Linked DNA regions of Caenorhabditis elegans. The protein of the gene in region 1 purifies or fractionates together with the protein of each later gene. This does not show direct contact. Each region holds a gene or a part of one and is shown in the gene's direction. Other genes may lie near its edges.

The links. The genes of interacting proteins can lie anywhere in the genome.
Region 2: the proteins of mek-2 (region 1) and C01B10.3 fractionate together in Caenorhabditis elegans (co-fractionation; one large-scale study listed by BioGRID). This does not show direct contact.

The regions. Positions count from the first base shown.
Region 1 is NC_003279.8:3,010,413-3,015,070, reverse strand, and holds the start of mek-2 (Dual specificity mitogen-activated protein kinase kinase mek-2), read left to right. Parts: upstream 1-1,622; 5' UTR 1,623-1,625; coding exon 1,626-1,712; intron 1,713-1,773; coding exon 1,774-1,953; intron 1,954-2,008; coding exon 2,009-2,227; intron 2,228-3,405; exon of another isoform or gene 3,406-3,463; coding exon of another isoform or gene 3,464-3,582; intron 3,583-3,642; coding exon of another isoform or gene 3,643-4,381; exon of another isoform or gene 4,382-4,387; intron 4,388-4,452; exon of another isoform or gene 4,453-4,578; intron 4,579-4,658. Other genes in the region: col-48 (Nematode cuticle collagen N-terminal domain-containing protein), read right to left, coding at 3,464-3,582, 3,643-4,381. UniProt on the Caenorhabditis elegans protein: Functions in the let-60 Ras signaling pathway; acts downstream of lin-45 raf kinase, but before the sur-1/mpk-1 gene product in controlling vulval cell differentiation. Required for progression of developing oocytes through the pachytene stage.
Region 2 is NC_003282.8:6,618,947-6,622,997, reverse strand, and holds C01B10.3 (Endonuclease/exonuclease/phosphatase family protein), read left to right. Parts: upstream 1-1,645; 5' UTR 1,646-1,646; coding exon 1,647-1,706; intron 1,707-1,807; coding exon 1,808-1,944; intron 1,945-1,999; coding exon 2,000-2,069; intron 2,070-2,117; coding exon 2,118-2,226; intron 2,227-2,410; coding exon 2,411-2,481; intron 2,482-2,535; coding exon 2,536-2,741; intron 2,742-2,790; coding exon 2,791-3,124; intron 3,125-3,168; coding exon 3,169-3,285; intron 3,286-3,333; coding exon 3,334-3,438; 3' UTR 3,439-3,530; downstream 3,531-4,051.

The DNA.
Region 1 (4,658 bases):
CGAGACTTATATTATCCGATTAGCAGGTCAAAAATCCCCGTTTTTGGCACGGATCCACTGAAATCTCAATAAAAATCACATTTTCTCGAAGAAAAAAGCAACAAAAGAGCCGTCATCCCCCTCTCAAATTTCCTCTCCTCCTCAATTTCGATTAAATTTTTAATTATTTAGGCGCTTTTTCTGCTCTCTTTTTTCTTGCTCCAGCAGCGGCTCCCCGCATCTCTCATCGCCTTCTTCTCTTTTCTTCTCGCTTGACCGAGCTCTCGCAGTCCGGAAAAGCAGTCAATAAGCTAGAGAGCCGTGCTTTTTTTTCACCTGTTCTCAAAAATCGCCACTTCACGACAGGTTATATTCATCAATCAATTCATCACGTTTTTGCCTCGATTTCAGAGAAAACTAGTTGTTTCGGAAGAAATTAATCGCGAAATTTTTTTTATTTTCCCTTTTTTCAGACGGCTAAAATCACGTGGAAATTTATAATTGTATAGGTTTTCACTCAAATTGGCTCGAAATAGCTCGAAAAAATTCCAAAATGTGTATGGCGAATCAAAATTCGAAAAAAAAAAACCAAAATTTGCTAAAATCAGCGGCTAAAAATCCAGTTTTCATTGAATTATCTTCATTTTTTTAGAATTTTTGGCTTTTTGCCACCCAAAAATGGTCTCAAGCATTGAAAAAACACTGCGACAAGGAAAAGTTGACAAAATGTAGGATTTTAGCAATTTTTGCTTCAAAAACACGCCAAAAAACAGTTTTGGAATTTTTTAAAAATATGTAATTTTAGGTCATTCTGAGTATATTTAAGTGAAAACCCTCTTTAAAGGTGAAGTACCGAAATTCGAATCTTTGCTTTTTTAGACCCAAATTGGTCCAAAACTACCGAATTTCGTAATGAAACGTTTCGAAAATTTCTCAAAAAAAAGTTATGGCGGTTCAAAGTTCGGCAAATTAAGGCCCACAAAATTAAGGCCCAACGTCTGGAACCCAATTTTTATTTATTTATCACTTTTTAATAAATATTGCGGTCTTTTATTAGGCTTTTATTCGTTGTTTTAAGTACATTTATGGTCAGTGGGCACAAAATGTAACTTTTATTTGTGCCCCAAAGGCCAGAAATATGCTTAAAACAACGAATAAACGCCCAATCAAAGACCACAATATTTATTAAAAAGTGATGAATAAATAAAAATTAGGTTCCAGACGTTGCGACACCGAGAAGTTGGAAAAAATTTTGATTTTAGCTGAAAGTTGGCCTTATTTTGCCGAACTTTGGACCGTCATAACTTTTTTTTGAGAAATTTTCAGAATGTTTCATTACGAAATTCGGTAGTTTTGGACCAACTTGCGTCTAAAAAAACAAAGTCTCAAATTTCGGTACTCCACCTTTGATTTCTGAAAAAAAACTCTGCTTTCAGTTAAAATTACCAAAGAAACTAAATATTTTTAATATTTCCTGACTAATTTTTAGAAAATTAAATAGTTCTGAGTATTTTCTGAATTAGACTCCAAAAATCGCTAAATTTTCCCATTTTCCCCAGTTTTTCATAAGTTTTCTTGGAATTTTCCTCGTTTTTTTTCTAAAAAAAACCTCTCGATTAAAATAAAATCCAACTATTTTCCAGATAATGTCGAGCGGAAAACGGCGTAATCCGTTGGGACTCAGTCTACCACCGACAGTAAATGAACAAAGTGAAAGTGGCGAGGCGACGGCGGTAATAATTTAAAATTATTTTTAATTTTTAAATATTGAATTTAAAAAATATAAATTTCCAGGAAGAAGCCACCGCGACAGTCCCACTAGAAGAACAGCTGAAAAAGCTCGGGCTCACGGAGCCACAAACTCAACGGCTCAGCGAATTCTTGCAGGTCAAGGAGGGCATCAAGGAGTTGAGTGAGGATATGCTACAGACTGAAGGAGAACTTGGCCATGGAAATGGAGGAGTTGTTAATAAGGTTGGAATTTGCTGAAATAAGCTGGAATTTGGAAATAAAAAGTTCAATTTTTCAGTGTGTTCATCGAAAAACCGGTGTAATTATGGCTCGGAAGCTTGTACACCTCGAGATCAAGCCGTCAGTCCGACAACAGATCGTCAAAGAGCTCGCCGTACTTCACAAGTGCAATAGTCCATTCATTGTTGGATTCTACGGGGCTTTTGTGGACAATAACGATATATCAATTTGTATGGAGTATATGGATGGGCTTTCACTTGATATAGTTTTGAAAAAGGTAATAGTTTATTGGAAAATGTGCGGGTATGTTGGAAAATGATATGGTGGACAGTTCTCGCAGGATTCTCGGATTCGGCTTGTCCTTGTGATCCGCATTGTCGATCTGACCAAGCTTCTACTCGGAGTACCTGGCTCTGCCGATGGTCCGAATGATCCTTGTGATCCTGAAGCTCCGACCTTCTTCCCGGTACCTGGAATTCCGTCTTTCCAGAGGTTCCTGGCGGATCCTGTTCAGAAGATCGAACTCCGGCGTCTCAATTGCTTCCGTCTTGTCCTGGAGATCTGCTCTTTCCCGGATGTCCTGGTGGGCTTGCTGGAGCGTTTCCTTCTGGAAGAAGTTCTCCAGGCTCTCCTGTGGTCCAGAAGCTCACGGGCATTATGGCGGAATCGGGAGAGTTCAATCACGAAGCTCGTCCTGGTGATCCTGGATCACCTGATTCTCCGACTTTTCTATGGTTCCTGGCGGTCCCTGAGCTCGCTGGTGGGCAGTGCTCGCACAATCCTGGTATTCGGCTTGCCCTCCTCCTGGGAGAAGTGCTCCAGGCTCTGCCGATGGTCCGGATGATCCTTGTGATCCTGAAGCTCCGTCCTTCTTCCCAGCACCTGGAAGTCCGTCTTTCCAGAGGTTCCTGGCTGAACATATTCAGAAGATCGTCCAATAAAAAGCTCGTCATTCTGGATTTTTAAACGAAATCTTTGGCTCACCCTGCTCTCCAGCAACTCCGTACGTGGTGTCTGTCCGCTGTCCCATTACGGTTTGACCTACAAAAAATGCGGCAATTTTTTCCCCAAAAAATGTGACGTCAGCTGAAAATTCTTCGTCTCGACTCCCGCATTTTTTGTAGATCTCGGTAGATCAAACCAAAACGGGGCAGCCTGGCACCACGTGCTCCGACGTCTCAACTTCTTCCGTCTTGTCCTGGAGATCTGCCCTTTCCAGGATGCCGTGAGCCTCCTGTCCGTCTTGATGGCCTAGTTGGGTTTGCTGGAGTGTCTCCTTCTGGAAGAAGCACTCCAGGCTCTCCTGTGCTCCCCCAATACCTCCAACAGAAGCTCACGGTGCTCTCCTGGTTCTTGACCTAGTTCTCTTTCCAGAGGTTCCTGGCGATACCTGAGCTCACCGTGCTTCACAAGCCTCTTCACCCTTTTTTTTATTAAATGGACAACTACGACATATCGATTGAAAAAATAATATAGTTTATTCGAAAATGTACAGACAGACTCGCATAAGCTTCTAATATCCTGGAGCAAGACGTGCTGGTGGGCAGTGCTCGCACGATCCTGGAGATCCGGCGTCTCCTGGCGATCCTGGAGTTCCGGCTTGTCCTGGTGGTCCTGGTGGTCCGCGTTGTCCTGAAACAAATTTAACGTTTAGAAGAAGAAGAAGAAGCCTAGCTTATCATGATAATTTACCTGGCTCTCCAGCAACTCCGGCGTCTCCGTTGCTTCCGTCTTGTCCTGGAGATCCGGCCTTTCCTGGCTGTCCTGGTGCTCCTGGCCGTCCTGGTGGTCCGGATGGGCCTGGTGGAGCGTCTCCTCCTGGAAGAAGTGCTCCAGGCTCTCCTGGTGGTCCGCGTTGTCCAGGCTGTCCTGGTTGCCCAGGTGGTCCCGGTGGTCCGGATGGTCCTTGTGGTCCTGGAGCTCCATCCTCTCCGTTTCTTCCCGGGTTACCTGGAATTCCATCTTGTCCTGGTGGTCCTGGTGGTCCTCCAAGTCCTGGAGCAGCAGTGCATGGGCATTGTGGTGGAACCGGGAGAATTCGATCATGAAGCTCGGCATCAGGTCCTGGTGGTCCTGGCTCTCCTGGTCCTTGACCTGGTTCTCCGTCTTTTCCAGGAGTTCCTGGCTCTCCATCTGGTCCTGGTGGTCCCTGTTGGCATGTGCAGCATTGAGCATCAGCTTGACGTGTAGCTCTGAGCAGAACATCAAGTGGATCATCAGCACCTTCCGGTGCAACCTCGACCATCTCACGCCACATATCCCGAGATCGGGACTTGCAGTACTCAACCTCTCCTTGTACGGAAGCTTGAAGGGTCTGCACATAGTGGAATACCAATGGGAAAGCGATAAGCACAGCAGTCACTGCGACTGTGGAGAATGTGACGGCGACGAACGCCACACTTCGCAACGATCCCTTGCTCTTCTCGTCCATCTGAAATTCTATGAATTTTCTAGAATATTCGAACAAAGAATCAAAGGTGAAGAAGGGAAATGAAAAATGTCAGAAGTGTCAAAAGAATAAGAAGAAGAAGCCTACACAGTCATTTGCCGTTGCCCCCGAGTGCTTATATGCGGCCGCTGTGGTGGAACGAAACGGCAAGTCGCGCACTTCTGTGTGCGCTGCGTCTCATCGTTGCGCACGCAATTTCCGTGCGCCCCGCGCAGTGAACATCCCTTGCGTTTTTTTTTTCGATTTCCTCATCTTCTCC
Region 2 (4,051 bases), on another chromosome or scaffold:
TTTGACAAAGAAAAATATGACATAATGGCGGAGTAAAAGTCGAGAACTTCCTCAAAAAGATTTTCCATTTTAATCCCATTTGTCAACAGTAAAAATACACAATTACTCCCACGATATTTATTTTTGAAATGGGTTAACTATTAGTTTAATTATTGATATCTTTCCCTCAACCTGTTCTATCAATTGTTGATGCAGTTTTTATTCAGTGTTGCAAGGTTGATGGTTTATTTCTGTTGGGACAGAAAAAGAAGAAGTAAAATAACTAGTTCGATTTTAAATTCTCGTGGTGTTTGGAAGTTTGCAACAATTTTAAAGTGTTAGATGACTCACAGGGTTTCAGTTTTAATAGATTTTTTAGTAAGTTTGATGGTGGGCGTCATTGGAAATTTTTTTAATTTATTCTATTCAGAAAATTTTAAAATTTTGGAAGTTGGTCAAAACAAAATCTAGTTTCATATTTTGATCATGTTTTAATAATTTGTACTCAAGCATCATATGGATTAAAACCTGTAGAAATGCTCGAAACAATTTGCAGAATGATTCACTCCAAAATCTCATTGATTAGAAGTCTCCCAGCCGTCATCATCATCTCTGTGCCGACATATGTTTTACTGAGAGAAGACCTAAAAAAGAGAAAAAGATTACGAAATAGGGAACGGTGATGAGAAAATAGTGTATAAGAATAAGAGATTTAAAGAAAAGGGCGTTGCCTTCTTCTATCCATTTTTTCTACGTCCGCCCGCGCAATGTTCATAGAATTAGAGACAGAGAATCAATGAGAAAATTGAGAAAAAACTGTTTGCAAATAGACATAGAGACATACAGTCATCGGGTTTCTTCTACCATTTTTCTTCTTGTTCTCGAAATTTTCGTTCACTTTTTTCTGGATTACACTAACTATTGGTTGTGGAATTTACAAAAGACTAGGCCTAACCCTGGTACTTTTAACTGATTTAAAAAAATGTATCAATACGCTTATTCAAGTTAAACATGTTTCAGTTTGTTGGTATACGTGTTCGAACTTTCAAACTAAAGTTTATAAAGATTAAAAGCTTTAGAAATCAACTCATATATTTTGTAATAAGTTGCAGTAATTACTTAAGAGTTACTTAAAAATTTAATTGACGGAAGTCAATTAAATTTTATAATGCCCAAGTTATTTATCAAGAATATTTATTTTTGGCAGCTCACATCTCCGTAATTTTTGAGTGAATTGAAAAATTCTTGTATCAGATTCAAATTTAAAATATTATTTTTTAGTTTTTTAGATTGATTATGAACAGTTTCAACCTGTTTAATTTCAATTTCTCAAGATTTTTGAACATTTCCTAACTATAACAAACAATTTGCCTCATTTCTCCAACCACACCCTACTTCACTCCCATCCTTCATCGCCTCATAAAAGGAAATGCAAGGATCTTTTTATTTGGATGGTTTCAAATTGAAATTTGAAATTGAAAATGGAAATTCTTTTTAAATTGTAATTTTTAATTTGAATACTCTCTTTTTTCTGTGCCACCCGTTCTGTCTGATGTTCCATCATATTTATTTGGAACTATTCTTGTTCGTTCTCTTGACCTGTTTTTCATTTCCGCTTTTTATTTATTTTTATAATTGAAATTTTAAAACAAAACTTAATTTTCAGAATGCCCGAGTACATCAAGCAAGTTGCAATCACTGGGGACATTTCCAGAATAGGAACTGATGTATGTTTACTTTTTTTTAAAACAAGATATGAATTCTAGTAATTTAATTTTAAATGTGATTATTTAAGATTTGATGCATCAAATTAAAAATATATTTTCAGGATGACCTGATCCGAGCCTGGTGCTCCGAAGTGGCCAAGGAAATTTATGAGCAAAAGTGTGAATTTGCTGTTGTCCACGTTCAAGGTCTTCACTCGGCTGAAAATCCAGATTATGCTGCAAGAGTTATTTGTGGATGGTAAGAATTTTTTTCTTGAAAATTTGAGAGAGTTTATGACTAAAAATATTTCCAGCATCACTGATAATCCAGAAATCTACAGAGCTTTTGATAGCTCTATGGCATTTTTTGATACCAAATTAACTGTATGTTACACTTTTAAAAATATTTGGAAATTCATTAAATAAGTTCAGGGTCTTGGAAACCTGTATCTTTTCAAGAATCACTCAGATATACAGTACTACGATAGATTTTCTTCAACTGGGTACATTAATGTTCGTTCTGGGCATCAACATTCAATTGGTTAGTTTTTTTTTTTGGGATTTTCGTGTACTCTGATAACGTAACAAAGGTATTTACATTTCGTAAATTTATTTCATGTTCTAGTAAATTTTGTACCTTGACAGGTTAGTCATTTTGAACTACTCTATTCTTAAATTCCCCTAAATGTACAAAAACATGTGATCTTGTTTCCAAAAAATTTCAGGTTCCAATGAATGTGATGGATTCATTCAGAATACATTTGGACAAAACTACACTTTTAGAAGAGATTTTTATGTAAGTATTTCTAACTTTAAAATTAGTATTTTCAATTAAAAAACCCTGTTTCAGAATGATGATGGAACTCGTGATTTGGCAAATCAAAGAACTGGATTTCTATTAGCCAGATTTCGAATTCACGGAAAAGAGTTAACATTTGTTAATCTAAATCTGCACTCTGTTCCATTCGAAGATGTAAATGAGATTGCAACAAAGAATTCCAGTATTACAAAAGCAGCATCAAAAAGGGAACAACAAATTGAAATGCTTTTAAAAGAGTAATTATATTTAGCTATTAATAAACGTTTGAATGAACAAGAATTTCAGATTGGATGAAGAAGGTCTTCGAAACGATGCAATCCTTGTCGCTGGATCCTTCAATTCTCAACTCCATGAAACTGATCTTTTGAATTATTTGGCAAAAACTCAATTGGTTCAAACTGTTGCAAAGAAAGATGAAGATGGAAATGTTGAATCAATTGAGCACGTTGATCGGCATGGAAGAAGAACAACCACTGTTGAGAGAACTCGATTTGATCTACATTCAATTCATGATTGGTTCTTCCGATTGGGAAGAGGACAAATGGTTAAAAGATATAATGGAGAATTGGCTAATATTGCATTCAAAGGAAATTTGAAAGAGGAGACATGCTTCTTCCAGGTTTGATCTGAAAACTTTGAGTTTGCCTAGTCTTCAGCTTTCAGCCTTCTCGTCATTACGAGCTTAACGACAGTGGGAAAGAAGAGTTTCAGAGGACTCTTTGCCCAGCATGGAGTGACAGAATTTTGTATAACGATCGGATGAATGAACTTTTCAAGCACGTAAGTTATCAGCTTGTTTTTTTTTTTGCTGCATCGTTATATTTTCAGGATTCTTTCTGTGCATCTGGACTGTACTATGGTCTTGTTGCTGAAGAGAAGTTTGTTGGTCCTCACAAGCCAGTCGCGCTTCATGCTTCCATTTGCTTGAAATAAAATTTATATTTTCACTGTCTTCATCTATATTTGTTTTTTGATTTTGAATTTAATTGAAATTTGTCGGCGCTAATAAACTTTTTTTTAGATCGATTCGCTTTTTTGTTGTTAATTTTTGAGAGTTACATCAATTTTTAAATAATTTTCAGACTATCAATTAGTCTACACACTAAAAAAGTTTCGGAAGTCCGCTAATATTTTCAGACACGTATAATAATTCAAGTTTTGAAGAGTTTCAGAAAAAATAAATGTCTTTAAGAAAAAAATATTTTTCTAAAACACTACATGTTTGACTCAGTTTTTAGTTATCTCAATATTCTTTCAAACATCAGTTTAAAATTTTTTATTAAAAGTAACTTCAATTTAAAGTTCTCAAAAATGAGTGCAGTGGTCAGAGAGTGAGGTTTCAGTGTGTTATTACCTAGGGGGCGGGGCGCGGGAAGAGTCGATTTGCACGTGATGCCAGGCCATTACTGTTTGATCTACAAAAATGCGGGAATTTGTCTTCAAAAAAAAAGTGACTCAGCACGTTCTTAACCATGCAAAATCAGTTGAGAACTCTGTGTCTCTTCTCCCGCATTTTTTTGTAGATCTCCGTAGTTCAAGCCGAAAT